Linked DNA regions of Neurospora crassa OR74A. The protein of the gene in region 1 interacts with the protein of each later gene in a pairwise test. Links are inferred from orthologs where the notes say so. Each region holds a gene or a part of one and is shown in the gene's direction. Other genes may lie near its edges. The genes, in order: rpa-1 and NCU00133.

Region 1 (7,831 bases):
CTGTTTTGTACTTGGAGACTTGAGAAACTGGTGTTACACGGCGACATTGGGAGGAAGATGGAAGCATTTGAGAAGGGTTATGGAAGCATACCTGGAAAATAGGTGGGTGGGAGCACGGAGGATATTTTGGACACTCCTACTCCTTTTGGGATCACTGGGTTCTAGAAAGTATATCTCCCGGTACCTTCGTTGACAACTCGTGAGACACATGCAGAGTTAGAATGTCAACATTATTCAACCTGTAGGATTCAGCCATTCGTCAAAAAAGCAGAAAAAAAAGACAAAAGAAAAAAGGTGTAGGCTTGCGCCTGAGAGTCTAGCCTGTTGAACGCTTCATTGGACCACTTGACAACACGCCCCATTTCGAGGTGCTGAGAGATGGGGTGAAAGAGGTAGATGATCAACCCATGCCTGATGTTTGGAGGTAGTCTGCTTGGTTACCGAGCAACAGTCAGACGTTAAAGGGAAGGAGACATGAAGGTTAGCAATTGGCTTGGAGTCTCACGTCTCAAGCTGTAAGACACTCGACGTTAATCGCCGTGAATCTGTCCACGTTGGGCAGATCATCTTTCTGCTATATCAATTCGGTTGCATGAAATCAGCTGTCGTAATTTGAAGACACGCTCAGCTTTCCGACTTTCCTGCTGTATAGGGGAGCTTGGTATTCCCACATATGTATCTATGTAGAATGGCTCCCAATTCTGGGTCGTCAGAAGCGCTGAATTATGTTTAAGTTCGTCGTGATGCCAAAAGGTTGATCAAGCGCAAGAAGATTTGCGTCCGAACATGAATATATGTACAACATGTCCAAATCTCCAGAATAACCCTTTGTCCTGAGTTCTAAGCACCGCTTCTCTGAGAGGATAACGTTCCCCACATGCAAGTCATGAATTCGACATTGCCTTTCAAGCGTTGGGGTTTGACTAAGGAAGAAGCCAGCCTTCCTGTTTGTGGTGGTACTAATCTTAATATTCAGTGGTCCGCCGCTATTCGTCGCTTCTCGTCAAGTCTACGACTTTGTAGACCGGACGACTATCAAGTTTGTACGCTTCCCTCGCTGTTTCCGCCCAGAGCCTTGTCTGAGCCTCGGGTCCCAAGCCGGCCATATGGCACGTCATCTCCACCACTCTGCGCCACTTCTTCCAGGCTTCATCACCAAGGCCTAGAGTGCACACCGGCCAGTCGCTGCCAAACATGATGCGTTCGGGCCCAAAGGCGGCTATCACCACAGCAAGCCAGGGTAGGATAGCAGAGAGAATTTCCTCGGCCGGGCGAGCCCTCAAAAACTCGGGCATCTCGCTGAAGCAGCCGCTCAGTTTCATGTAGGTACGGTCGCACTTGCTGAGAGTAAACATGGCGGTGCGCCAGGCGATGTATGAGGGATCCGTTTGTACATTGACGATGGTTAGATCTGGCTTGCAAAGGTGGTCTGAGATGAGAACCATCAGTTAGCAAGCAAATCATGCAGAATGTGTCAAGGTAAAAACTTACTCAGGATAAATACCACTTTGTCCTCCTCGTCCACACCTTCGTGTGCACGGTCGATCATTTCTACCGCCTCCTCCAGTTGGATTCTCCCTCTTTTGTGCTGGTCAACACCCAGGTCAAAGACGAACTTCTTTCTGCCAAGCAGCTTCAGGCCCTCGATAAAATCGTCACTTAGGGCTGTTCCGTTGGGCTTATCTTGCAGCAAGTAGCGGAAACCCTTCACCTTGGCCCATGTTTCAGGCCCGGCTTCCTTTTCCGCAGCTGCGAGATACTTTTCCAACTCGGCAGAGCCCAATACAACCGGCGCCCACGGCACAATTCCGAGACAATCACGGCCATCGTCAGCCGTGTGGCCCTCGCCAGGCTTCGGTTGGCCGGTTACGATGCGGCGAAGCCATGCGATCTCTTGTAGGGGGTAAGTCCAATCCTTAGCATTGTCGTTCTTGCGGTCGACCTCAATTGCGACGTAGCCCTGAAGATTGCCAGGCGCACCGGTGGCGGTCTGGTATTCCTGGATGGAGTGCTGCTTGGCGAGAGGATTGTCTTCAGCGTACCACTGGTGGGATTCTACCTCGGACTGGGGATAGAGGTGCACATGGGTGTCGATGATGGGAACGGAAACGGCGGGAGATGATGCCATTTTGATCAGGCCGTTATCGAGCTCGAGTTTGGTAAAGCGACGGATATGTTTGGCAAGAAAGTAAGGTATCCAGTGATAGAGAAAGAGAAGGAGACAAGCGAAGCAAGCAAAGTCAGAGATGACAGGAAGTAGGAAGGTCAGGACGTCGAAGCGGTGTACCGTCCTGCAGGCAGACCAACGCTGAACACACAAAAGTAGAGGTATGGATGGGATGTAACTGAGGCAACGGGGGAACTTCCAATCGAGCCTTCTCCTTCTTATATTTTGTATTCGTTTTAGCATAGGCAGGCACGCGCTACAGTACGAGGAGAGTACCTCGATGGTCAGGAGGGGGTGGGAGATGGGATCGACACAGACAGCCAGGAACCACGACGAGGTGGGGTACGTTCGGCATGCAAAGGGCAGGCCCAAGACGGGACAATTCACACCGAAAGATTCAAAGATAGGGTTCCTGATCAAGAATGGTTACCTCCCGTCTTCGGTTTCCATTTCCTTGAGGAACCCAAGGTCCTTTTCCCTTTCGTCTTCCTACAGCACCGGAAGAAAGATACCCTTGTTATGTACAGTCATCACATGATTGTGCGAATATATTAGCAAAAAGGGTTCTATCTGCAAGACCTGACAGAGAAATCATGACATGTTCCAAAAGCTTAAGAAGTGAACGAGGCCAAGAGGGAAGTTGAGCCCCTGGAACTTGCTGAAGTTGAGCTCTCGGGTGGGGTTTGATGTGGAGATATGGGGTTGGCGGGCAACTGCCATGCTTGTCAGAAGCGCTTGGCAGCAACACTCCCCGGCAAACGCAAACTACACGCGCTATACAAACTGGGGCCCTCCGCACGGACCGTGGATGCCTAGCAATTAAACTCTTGCCCCTCCTCGACGCGCTGCCAAACGCGTCGCTGCTGCAGTCCATTGTTTGTGTGAAATTTCCCCTCCAGACCACCATCATCATCAGTCCAACACACTCGATCCATCCGTATCTTGTCGGATCTTTCTTGACTTCTGCGCCCCAATCCTTGCATCTTCGAACACGACTCACGCATAAATCAACCTCAAAAACAACATCGAGAACGTCTCCACGGGCTTGACGCCAACACTACCCAACCAACATGGCGGGTCAAATCACACAGGGCGCTCTGGAGTAGGTTTCTTCACGTGTGCTTCCATCCAGTAGTATGACAGACTCTGACTTCTTGCTATAGCGCCATGTTCAATGATCCCGATCGCGCACAACAACAGTTCCCTGTCCCCATCCTTCAATGTCTCCAGATCAAGACCCTCGACTCCAAGAATGGGGGCGCGGGCGCCACGGAGAGGTTCCGCATTGTGCTGAGCGACCTCAAGAACTATGTCCAATGTATGATGGCCACGCAAACAAACCATCTTGTTCACGATGGCCTCCTGCAACGCGGCTGCATCGTGCGCTTGAAGCAGTATCAAGCTCAATGTCTCAAGGGCAAAAAGTACGCCTATCTACCCCTCCGCCAATTCGGGAAATCCATAACACTGACTGTTTAAATCCAGCATCTTGATTGTCCTCGATCTCGAAGTTATCCAGTCCCTTGGCTGTCCCGAAAAGATGGGCGATCCACAGCCTCTTGGCCCCCGCAGTGCAGAACCACAGCAGAACCCCAATCTCGGCAGCACCGGCTTCTATGGCGTCAAGAGCGAACCTACCCAAGACACGAAACCACAGTTTCCACGCCAGATGCCCTCGCGTAATGCCAGCGGGGGTCAGGGATCAAGCACGATATATCCTATTGAAGGTCTCTCGCCCTTCTCGCACAAATGGACCATCAAGGCCAGAGTCACCTCCAAGTCCGATATCAAGACCTGGCACAAGGCTAGCGGCGAGGGCAAGCTCTTCAGCGTCAACTTTCTTGACGAGAGTGGCGAAATTAGAGCAACAGGATTCAACGACCAAGTCGACCAGTTCTATGATTTGCTACAGGAGGGTCAGGTTTACTACATTTCTACACCTTGCAGGGTACAGCTTGCCAAGAAGCAATGGTCGAATCTCCCCAATGACTACGAGCTCACCTTTGAGCGGGATACCGTGATCGAAAAGGCCGAAGACCAGACATCTGTACCACAGGTACGCTTCAACTTTGTCAACATCCAGGAGCTTCAGGATGTTGAGAGGGATGCGACTGTCGATATTATTGGTGTCCTCAAGGAGGTCCAAGAGGTGACCCAGATTGTATCCAAGACCACACAGAAGCCGTACGACAAGCGCGAGCTGACCCTTGTTGACAACACTGGGTACTCGGTACGTTGTACCATCTGGGGTAAGACGGCCACGAACTTTGATGCTCAGCCTGAATCCATTGTGGCCTTCAAGGGCACAAAGGTCAGCGATTTCGGTGGACGCAGCTTGTCCCTGCTTTCGTCTGGCACCATGGCCATCGATCCGGATATTCCAGAGGCCCATCATCTCAAGGGCTGGTATGATAGCAGCGGCAGGAACAACACCTTCGCCACCCACAACAACATGCAGACCTTGGGTGGTGCGACCGGTCGCAAGGACGACGCCAAGACCATCTCACAAGTAAAGGAAGAGAACCTTGGCACAAACGAGGCGCCGGATTACTTCGCTCTCAAGGCAACGGTTGTATTCATCAAGCAGGATAACTTTGCCTACCCTGGGTGCCGAAGCGAAGGCTGTAACAGGAAGGTCACAGATATGGGTGATGGTACCTGGCGCTGCGAGAAGTGCCAGATCAACCACGATAGACCTCAGTACCGTTACATTATGAGCGTCAACGTCAACGACCACACAGGTCAACTTTGGCTTAGCTGCTTCGACGATACGGCGCGGGTCATCATGGGCAAGTCGGCCGATGAACTTATGGAGATTCGAGAGACCGACGAGACGCGGTTGCCCGCCGAGTTTGAGCAGGCCAACTGCCGCAAGCTGAACTTTAGGTGCAGGGCGAAGATGGACACATTTGGTGAACAGCAGAGGTACGTATCGGGGGTTATTCTCACGATTAGATGGACGTTGCTGACACATTGCTTGTTGCAGGATTCGATACCAGGTCATGAGCGTGGCGCCCCTTGACTACAAGATGGAAGGAAACAAGCTTAACGAGCTCATCAATTCTTACAACCAAATGAGCATGTAAAGGGGAGGGTGGGGTTTGTTCACTTATGCGAGGAACTAGATGATGTATATGGTTAATGAACACGTGTTTGTATTTTCGGGCATGTGGTCTCAAGGATGAACGATATGGGCATCACTGGCCTATCGACTGAAAGATGATTTGCAGTTTCATGATGGACTGGGATGGTTAAGAGCTGTGATGGGCCGAACCCTAACAGAACTTTGTTGGCGTGGCAGCAAATTTCGGCATGATTGCAGACTTGAATAGGTCTCTCAAGCGTTATCTTGGAGTTGAGACACTAGGAGACCTTCCTGTTCGAGTTATCTTCGATAACATGCCGAGGTAAGTACACACGCTTCGTTGACTAGAAGAAAGCTCCAGAGCTGGTCAAGGTCGGATCAGGGCGGTCCTTGCAATGTAATACGCACCTTTCGGGCTCAATATCCACATGGCAATCCGATCATCTCATCCGTTATCGGCCTTCTTCACCCTCTCGTATTCTCAAACTCTTCTATGCTTCAGCTTTTTCACGCAAAGAACCCGTGGCACAGCCTTTCCTGGTCATCTTTCTTCACTTTCCAACTTCCGTTATGTGAATAGGCACCCCGGCTCCGGTCTCTATGCGGACTGTTTAGCTGCTCGATACCGTATCGGCACTTATCGATTACGCAGATGGATGACAGGAACCTAAACGCCGTATCTTCCTTATCGGCCGTCGTCGGGATCCCCTGCCGTGACTCCACATATCCGCCGTCCAGACCCGCCCCCGCTCCGTTCCCTCGGGCCCCCCACTTTCGATGTAGCGGGAAGCTGACACCGAGTTCTAGAACAAAAGACTATTGAAATCACGTTTGAACCGTATTCGTGTCAGCACTAAGACCAAGTTAAACCTTTATCTTTGCTCATACTTCTCTATCCCATTCAGTGTCTTCTTGTTGTCTACTTACACTCATCACCTTCCACCAACATCAACAACAAAGTGACAAGCTTCAACCTCTCAAACCTCCAACGAAATGGCCGACCCCAGCACCACCCCTCCCCTTACCCGTGCCTCCGTCCTCGCCGCTCACTCCCTCATAAAGCCCTACATTCACGAGACGCCCGTGCTTACGAATACCACTTTCGACCAACTCGCTTCCACCCCTCGTACTCCCGAAGAGCTGCAAGGAACGGAATGGGAGGCTACCGAAAGACCGGCGAACCCAAAGATTCGGTTCTGGTTCAAGTGCGAGAATTTCCAGCGGATTGGCGCGTTCAAGGCTAGAGGAGCGTTTCATGCTGTGGAGAGGTTGAAGCAAACTGAGGGGTTAGAGGGGTTGAAGAAGGGCGGAGTAGTGACGCATAGTTCTGGTTTGTGAATTTCCGCTTTTTTTTTTTTTTTTTTTTTTTTTTTTTTTTTTTTTTTTTTTTTTTTTTTTTTTTTTTTTTTCTTTTAATCTGGATATGATGAGGTGATATCAGTATTGAGAGAAATGAGATTGTGAAGATGTGAAGTTTTTTTGAAGGCTTTGAAATAGGTTGAGTTGTCTGAATTGTCTTCTGAGATGTGATGAGAGTTGTCGATGTGTTCAAGACGTAGTAGCTACGTGAAGACCCAAACTGACGTGACAACGAACTAAAAGGTAACCACGCCCAAGCCCTTTCCCTCGCTGCCCGCGAGAACGGCATCCCGGCGCACATCGTTATGCCTACCATCTCGCCTCCGCCCAAGATCGCTGCCACCAAGGGTTACGGCGCCAACATAACCTTTAGCGGAAGCACGAGTACCGAGCGTGAAGCAGTTACAAGGGAGGTGATTGAGAAGACGGGTGCGAGGCTGGTGCCGCCTTATGATCGTATGTCCCTTCTCCTTTTTTCTTCTCACGTGTCCTTTCTTTAGGAGTCTCTTCAGAGTGTCTTCAAACCCTCTCGAGGTCCTCTCGCCCACTTTCATCCTCCCGTCTCTTCACCCCAACACTGAACTGACCAACTAACATCCCCACCCCAACCCACACCAGACCCAGACATCATCCTCGGCCAAGGCACCGCCGCCCTAGAGCTCCAACGCCAAGTCGCCGCCTCTCTCTCCACCTCCGGCACCACCACCACCACCAACCGTCGTCGTCTTAACGCGATAATAACCCCCTGCGGCGGCGGTGGTCTCCTCTCCGGCACCGCTCTCGCCTGTTCCGACCTCTCCCCTTCCGATCCCTCCACACCCGGTCCAATCCTGGTCTTCGGCGCCGAACCCTCCTTCTCGGGCGCGGACGACGGTCGTCGGGGTTACTACTCGGGCACTCGCATCGAGAGCGTCAAATCCTTGACGATTGCCGATGGGCTGCGGACTCCTCTGGGGGCGTATCCGTGGAGTATCATCTATGAGCGGAAGCTGGTGGCGGGCATGTACAGTGTGGGCGAGGAAGAGATCAAGAAGGCGCTGAGGCTGGTTTATGAGAGGATGAAGGTTGTTGTTGAGCCGAGCGCGGTAGTGGGGTTGGCGGTAGCGTTATTTAATGAGGAGTTTAGGAGTATGGTGGAGAGGGAAGGGGGGGAGGAAGGGTGGGATTTGGGGGTGGTGTTTAGCGGAGGGAATGTTGAGCTGGCGGCGTTGGGGAGGTTG
Region 2 (7,923 bases), on another chromosome or scaffold:
TCATAGAACCGAGTCGGGTAATTCTCGGCCTCGCCAGCGACTGAAAACACAACATCGCCGCGCGGGGCCTGGTAAACTGGGCTCGGCTGGTAGACTTAAGGCCCGCCTTTCCATTGCGCTGCCCCCCTTTGCTTGCTCACGAGTTCACGACAATTCGCTCAACTCAGATATGTGGATGTGCATGTTCTGCTGCTTGCCGCCGTTGTTGATGAAGCTAGGCGAGACATCCGGTCGATGTCCACCTGAGCCGCTTGCGTACTTCTCGCTTCGACTAGTATGTAAGGAAACCCTCTTCCAAATGTACTACTTTCACTCCAAAGCTTCACGTTTTGTCTTTGTTGGTTTCCATCTCTTGGCTGCCCCTTAGGATTCCAATCGCACGTCTCGCTTTGCCCCAGCAGCGCATTTTCACGATTTTATTGCGAGTACATTCGTCGTGTGTTCCGTCGGGTTTGGGTATTTCACGACCTTAAGACTTCGTTGCTAGGTGTAGACACGTCCCGGAATCATTCGAAAACGATTGCGATAAGCTATCCTCTAGGGTTGAACTATCGTACTGCTACACTTGGTCATTGTATAGATGCTGAATGTTAGAAGTATGTCGGAGGTCCAAGGGTTTGGTGCATCGCCGAGTAGGAAACATGCGACCCAACAACACGAATCCAAGCCACTGTTGCCAATCTTTCCAATCCTGCCAAACGCCTTCACGATGCCTGTCCCTCAACGACCCTCTTATGATTCTGAAACGCCGAAAAGAATTGCCGCCAACCCAAGCGTTCTAATGCCCTTCTACAGTCCGAGGAGGCGCTTGGGCGTCTAGATGAACCATGGCAGGAAACGGAATCCCACTGCAGGCTCATTGCCTAATGTCCTTCATGGTAACGCCCGGGCTACGTCGTCTCGGTCACCAAGCTTCCGCTTGCTGTTTCTCGGGGAGCCGCTCGGGGAGCCGCTTTCACCCTCGGTCCATTCCATAACTTCCCATTCGACTTGAACTGTACCACTCGTATTCTGGCTGCGACCTTTGGCCGCGCGAAGAGTACCGAGTCGGCTGCCCTCAAGCAAGCTGTCCAGCCAGGGTAGGCCTCCCACAGTCTGTCGGCCGATATACGTTACTTCTCCCTTTCCTTCTTGCTTCTTCGTTTCAGGTTCATTCTCGCTTTCGGAATCCGGCAACATACCCAAGTCTTCCAGGTCCGCTAGATCTTCTGGATGCAGGCTGCCCAACGATAGCTGGATAAAATCAGCTTCGCTACGAGGTTCCTCGGACCAGTAAGACAAGGGGGTGCCGCAATAACCGCAAAAGTGGCGCATAGAATGCTGTTCAAAGGGCGAAGTGTAGGCGCGATGGATCATCGACGTCCTTTCGTCGGGAGAAAACGAGAGCGTCGAGCTATGGTACCATGGCAAAGGTACCCGCAGGAAAGCAGCCAATGGTGAGGCATGGGAGATATCTGCATTGGCAACATTTGGTCAGATGATCTATACTCCTAGCAAAATGGAGATAGTGATCGGAATTTCCTGAGAGTCAGTATCGCTGGACAGGTTCCTACATTGAGAAGGCGGTGGGTTGAAGATGACTTGCGCCGCCTGTGTAGTGGTTTGCGGAAACTGGATGATGTAACGATTGCGGCCGCATTGGCAGCCACCACGGAGGGGACGCTCGAAGCTCATCTTTGAAAAGGTGTAGAAACAACAAGGCAACAAGAGTGATTGATGGTGGAAAGATTGATTCAAGCTTCGTTGGGATCCTTGGGGGGCCAAGTAAGTGTGCAAGTCGGAAGTTCGGTATACTAATAGCTCCAGCTAAGGTTCAATTGAAGCAGGCAAACAAACGGCCCAGGCAACAAAGGAGAGCTTCGTTCTGTTTGAATAAAGAAACCGAGCGAAATATGACGATCAGGGCAGACGAGTGACGGAAGGAAGTCGAGGCGGGGCAGCTTGAGCGGGTGTGCGGGATGCCACCAGTTCAAGCATGTAATACGTCAATCGTGGGGTGGCGTATAAGTGCCCCTCGTGGTCTCCAGGTCAAGGCCGCAGGCAGGAACGTCTACGACGGGAATTGTCACCTTCGGTGAGCGAGTCTTCCGCCCTTGTGAAACAGCCAATGGGCACAACAAGAACGAACTAACTTGAGAGTTATGTTTGTGTTCAAGGGAAGAAAAAGAAAGAGATCAAGAAGTGGTACAAGGCAGAGAACATTACCACTTAAGGTGACTAAGTACCTCTAATACAATCCCATGTCATGAAACAGGCGCGGAAGATATCATATGCAACCACTTAAAGCTCCACGCGCTAGCCCCACATGCTTTTTGGGGGGTTGACGATATTGGGAATCGCGCCCATGTCCATGAACCGAAGCTATGTTGAGTTTGTTTAGTAGATTGAGAGTGGCAACCCAAGTGGCATATTTGGAACCAGTTGAAAGCTTCAAAATGCTCTGACCAAACAAGGAACGCTTGTCGCGAGGGGACACTTTTCCCACGTAACGAAGCGACTCGCTTGGAACGTCCTCTTTCCCTCCCGTGTTCAACGGGCCGAGCACTAGCGGAACGAATACAAGCAAGAAGGAGCGAGATACAAAGAATTCAAATGTGAAAAAACCACCCAACATAATTGTTGATCCGTAACTACAAGAGAATGGAAGGTGTTGTGTTACTGTAGATCGCGACAGATTGGAGGACAAGAGGACGCAGTTTCTTTTAGACATTCAAGATGATACAAACAGTGAATGACTCTCAGAGCGACAAGAAGGCCTGTGTGTCGTTGGCAAAGCTTCCTTGGAAGGTGACAACTGAATAAAGTGGTGGTGTTCTTGCAGGCTTGGGAGAGAAATCAGAAGCTCACAGTTGCCACGCGCTACAACCAAGCTGTTGCCCACTGCGTAGACCCTACACGTACAGTAGTACTGCGACTTGCCACCTGCCACCAGCATGGGTCGTCGCCTAGCCCAGCGGAATGCCACCTGCCAGCCGAATTAACCTTCAATTAACGAACTGGCCTAGTCGCGACACGGTCAACTTTCTCCGAGGCACGCGAACCTTCAGTTGGATTGTTCATCAGTATTTGCTTGCAACACTTTGCAATCACTGCCACAACATCAGACGCCATTTCCAACTTGTCCATCAACCCCAACTCACCATTAAACCAGTTGGATAGAGGGGCAATATGGCTGCCATGTAAGTCGCATACCTTTCTGGATTTCATGCTTTCGCGCGCTCTTGCTCGTCTAACCCTGCGACGACGGATGTGCCCCGCTCCATCTACGCCGTAGGGCACGGCTTTCACCGGCGGAGATCACAGCTCAGTGCCATTTCTAATACCTTCATTTACAGCGAGAGTTTTGACAATATCTACTTGGATCTGTCCAAGGAGAGCGGAAAGTCGAGATTCGCGGAAAATGGCTTGGGATGGAAACCTGCGGGTGGCGGCGAAGCGTTCACTCTCGACTCGAGCAACATCGGCGGTGCTCAATGGAGCAGGGCGGCGAGGGGCTATGAGGTTAAAATCCTATTGCGAAGCTCTGGCGTAGTTCAGCTCGATGGTTTCCACCAAGAAGTACGAAACCTATCCACGCGCCATCGAAGCGAAGGAACGCTGACGTGTTGCCACAGGATTACGAGCGCCTTAGCAAGATCTTCAAGAACTGGTACAGCGTGAACCTCGAGAACAAGGAACACTCTCTGAGAGGATGGAACTGGGGCAAGGCTGAGTTTAGCAAAGCCGAGCTCACTTTCAACGTCCAAAACCGACCGGCCTTTGAGATTCCTTACTCCGAGATTTCCAATACAAATCTTGCCGGAAGGAACGAAATCGCAGTCGAGTTCGCCGGCAACGATGGCGGCAAGTCGAACGGTCACAGCGGAACAGGCGGAAAGGGCAAGAAGGCGTCGGCCGGCAAGGATCAGCTGGTCGAGGTGCGCTTCTACATCCCTGGAACGACAACACGAAAGGAGGCCGAGGGTGGTGAGGCTGGTAGCGACGCCGATGAAGAAGAGAAGAACGCCGTGACTCTGTTCTACGACACCCTTATTGAGAAGGCCGAGATTGGTGAGACGGCGGGTGATACTATCGCTACATTCCTCGATGTGCTACATCTCACGCCCAGGTACGTGGAAACTGCACGCTGGTTGTTGATCCTTTTCCGGTGCTAACTCTCCCGATAGAGGACGTTTCGACATCGACATGTACGATGCCTCCTTCCGTCTCCGTGGCAAAACATACGACTACAAGATCCAATACGATGCTATCAAGAAATTTATGGTGCTTCCCAAGCCGGACGATCTCCATTTCTTGCTTTGCATTGGTCTCGACCCGCCCCTTCGTCAAGGTCAAACACGTTATCCATTTGTGGTGATGCAGTTCAAGGCGGACGAAGAGGTGACTCTTGACCTGAACATCACCGAGGAGGAACTCAACGGAAAATACAAGGACAAGCTTCAGAGCCACTACGAGCAACCACTTCATCAGGTTGTGGCGTACATTTTCAAGGGACTTGCGAACAAGAAAGTCACTACACCAGCCAAGGACTTTACAACGTGAGTTATATCTGTTCATTTCATAGCCAGCAACGGTACTGACCTAGGAACCCGCAGGCACCGTCAGCAGTACGGCATCAAGTGCTCTATCAAAGCCAGTGAAGGATTCCTCTACTGCTTGGAGAAGGCGTTTATGTTTGTCCCCAAGCCGGCCACGTACATCTCATACGAACAGACACAGTCCATCACGTTTTCACGCGTGGGCGGTGCGGTCTCGGCATTGTCGACGTTCGACATTACAGTCCACATGAAAAACGGCGCGGGCTCATCCCAATTCAGCAACATTAACCGTGAAGACTTGAAGGCTCTCGAGGAATTTTTCAAGCTCAAAGGACTGCGTGTCAAGAACGAAATTGATGATGACACCAACCTTATTGCCGCCGCCTTGGGCGATGACGACATGGCTAGCTCGGACGAAGAGGCCGTCGGCCCCAAGGCTGATCGTGGCTCCGCTGACGAGGATGAGGAGAGCGTGGATGAGGACTTCCAGGCTGAGTCCGAAAGCGACGTGGCGGAGGAATACGACAGCAACCATGAGAGTGATGGGTCGGGCAGCGAGGAGAGCGACGTCGACAATCGGGTCGATGATGAGGATGAGGATATGGATGATGACGAGGGAGAGAAGCGCCCCAAGAAGAAGAAGAAGACGGCTTAGGTTTATTTTTCATGTTGGCGCGTCGTTACTTGTTTGATTAAAAAGGCAGATCACAGGCTGGAAGGCAGGCAGGCAGCTGGGTATTTGGGGCGTTCCGGTACTTTCGTGACACGAATATGTGTTAATTCTGTATTTTCTCTACCATATATCGATACGATACTTGGGGCGTCAAAGACGACATTCCCAACGGCAGTGTCAAACTAGTATCTCGATGTTCCCTCAACTTGGGCGCGCAATGGAGCTAATGAACACTGAAGAGCGGCAGGCAGATGGTCAGCTACCTAGTTGATCCGTTATGGTTCTTTTTTTTCCCCTTCGACTACAACGAACATAAGACATCGGCACATCCTTTGAGACTTCGCTTCTTCTTCAGGGCCGCAGGATGGATAGAGGCCGTACTCCAAAAGTACGGCATGGAATGTATCAGCCTGCAGGGCGTGCAGGCGGTTGAGGTGGGTATCGCTCTAGCGGTCAAAAATCTACCTACCTGGTAGGTAGGTACCTACCTCTATGCGTTCCCGCTCTGTCTACACTACACTAGGATGCACATTCCTTCTAGTGTACATAGTGGTGCCCTGCGTGGCCCGGTGGGCACTTCGGTTGATGCGGAGCGGTCCCTGCTGAGTGCGCTTCGGCAGACTTCCATTCAGCTGGGCGGGCTTTAATTCGGCTCCAAAGTTAAGCCCCACCAAGGCGGTGGGTATGACCCATTTCCGCGTTCCTCCTCCTCCCTTTGTTTTCTGTCGACCAGTCCAGAAGCCATTGATTGGTGCCAATCATCAGCTCACGGCCTCTCCTTGGTGCTGTATCGGACAGCCACACCTGCACCGTGATAAATTTATTCTCACTCGTCCTGGTATTTTTTGAGACCTGATACCGCGCCCAAAGGAAGCATCTGCCTGTTTCGATCTTCACGTCCCGGAGCAGGGAAAAACAAAAGTACCCGATTAGCACCGCAAAGGAGATTTACAGTAATGGAAGCCAACTAAAAGGTTCCCGCCTTTGGAAACCATGTCTTTTTGGCGCTCCGCCTGCTATCTTTGAGAATGCCGACTCTTTCTTGACCATTGCTGCCCCGGGTTATTTTACAGCACTTTGACCAACAACTAAACCAGCAAACAGCAGCCAGACACAACCACCGCCGACGTACAAAACATACCACGAATCCTTTCAACCCGTTTTTCTCCCCCTCGAACTCTTCCTCCAAACAGCCATACCATGGACGCCCAGGTAAGGCTGCTTTTCCCCCAGCGTGAAAAAAATATCATCCCCGCAAACTCGCACCCGCCGACCCCGCCATATATCCGTCTGAATGGAGGGATCACAATGTACCTCTTCGGCACACGTCATTTCTCTCTGTCTTCTCGCGCTGACGGTCGTTTCTGCTACAGTTTGAAAAGGCGATTGAGATCGCCTTTGATCCTCGTTCCAGTCATGCCCTGAAGTCCCAGGCGCTCGAGTTCCTCAACCAAGTCAGGACCGACGTCCAAGCATGGCGTATCTGCGCCGCGCTCTTCACGCGAAGCCCCAGAGCATCCGACATCGTCCGCCATGTCTCCCTTGAAATGGTCAATAACGCCGTCCACTCTCAAGGGCTGGACGCCCCCGATCTCGCCTTTGTGAAAAATTCTCTACTCGACTATATCACACGCACATATGGTCCTAACGCTCAGGACCAAGCCGACCCTGCGAACGTTCAGAACAAGCTCACACAAACCCTCACGTATCTCTTTGTCGCTCTTTACGGCGAAGGCTGGGAAACTTTTTTCGACGACTTCCTCGCCTTGACCAGCTCCCAGAATGGTGCTTCAAGAGACAACCTCAGCGGCGTTATGCTGTACCTCCGCATACTAAGCTCCGTCCATGACGAAATCGCCGACCTCATGATCAGCCGCCAGGGAAACGAGTCGAAGAGGAACAACGATCTCAAAGATCTAATTCGAGAACGGCATATGCAGAAGATTGCCATGTCGTGGCAGGATATCCTCGCTCAGTGGACAAATAAGCATGATGGCGTGGTAGAGTTGACGCTTAAGGTGATTGGGAAATGGGTCAGCTGGATCGATATCTCCCTTGTCGTCAGTCAGGACATGCAGAACTTGATCTTGCCCTTGGTTGGCAGAGTTAACAACACGAGCAACAATATTGATACCGTGAGGGACACCGCCATCGATACGTTGACGGAGATTGTCGCCAAGAAGATGGGACCGAGCCACAAGATGGAGCTGATATCGTTCCTTAACCTCGGTGGCATCATCACAGAGCTGCTTGCAAGCCAAGGACTGCACGAGTTCAAGGGCACCTCTCGTTACGACAATGACCTCGCAGAAGTCGTTGCGAAGCTCCTCAACACCATCATGACGGACGTAGTACGGGTTCTGGAGGACAACAAAGTCGACGCTGAGACCCGAGCAAAGGCCGAACGTCACCTTCAGGATTTCCTGCCGGCCCTTCTCCGTCTATTCTCAGACGAATTTGACGAAGTGTGCTCGACGGTTATCCCTTCGCTCACCGACCTTCTGACGTTCCTTCGTAGGGTCGGGACACTCCCTGACAGTTATTCTCAAATGCTTCGCCCTATTCTGAGTGCCATTGTTGCCAAGATGAGATACGACGAGACTTCTTCCTGGGGCACTGAGGATGGAGAGAGCGATGAGGCCGAGTTTCAGGAGCTCCGAAAAAGGCTACAGATTCTTCAGAAGAGCGTGGCTGCCGTTGACCAAACTTTAT

The links.
Region 2: the proteins of rpa-1 (region 1) and NCU00133 interact in binary tests that used the Saccharomyces cerevisiae proteins (3 or more experiments, as listed by UniProt). The link is inferred for Neurospora crassa OR74A from reciprocal best matches to the Saccharomyces cerevisiae genes RFA1 and POB3.

Annotation. Positions count from the first base shown.
Region 1 is NC_026505.1:1,820,529-1,828,359, forward strand, and holds rpa-1 (replication factor-A protein 1), read left to right. Parts: upstream 1-3,000; 5' UTR 3,001-3,237; coding exon 3,238-3,269; intron 3,270-3,330; coding exon 3,331-3,591; intron 3,592-3,652; coding exon 3,653-5,092; intron 5,093-5,153; coding exon 5,154-5,253; 3' UTR 5,254-5,680; downstream 5,681-7,831. Other genes in the region: NCU03605 (amidohydrolase), read right to left, coding at 987-1,429, 1,492-2,410; NCU03607 (threonine dehydratase catabolic), read left to right, coding at 6,246-6,582, 6,855-7,067, 7,230-7,831. UniProt on the Saccharomyces cerevisiae protein: As part of the replication protein A (RPA/RP-A), a single-stranded DNA-binding heterotrimeric complex, may play an essential role in DNA replication, recombination and repair.
Region 2 is NC_026503.1:2,734,653-2,742,575, forward strand, and holds NCU00133 (FACT complex subunit pob-3), read left to right. Parts: upstream 1-2,921; 5' UTR 2,922-3,168; coding exon 3,169-3,179; intron 3,180-3,335; coding exon 3,336-3,558; intron 3,559-3,614; coding exon 3,615-4,108; intron 4,109-4,166; coding exon 4,167-4,538; intron 4,539-4,595; coding exon 4,596-5,193; 3' UTR 5,194-5,457; downstream 5,458-7,923. Other genes in the region: NCU00132 (hypothetical protein), read right to left, coding at 874-1,454, 1,554-1,674; NCU00134 (exportin-T), read left to right, coding at 6,412-6,423, 6,585-7,923. UniProt on the Saccharomyces cerevisiae protein: Component of the FACT complex, a general chromatin factor that acts to reorganize nucleosomes. The FACT complex is involved in multiple processes that require DNA as a template such as mRNA elongation, DNA replication and DNA repair.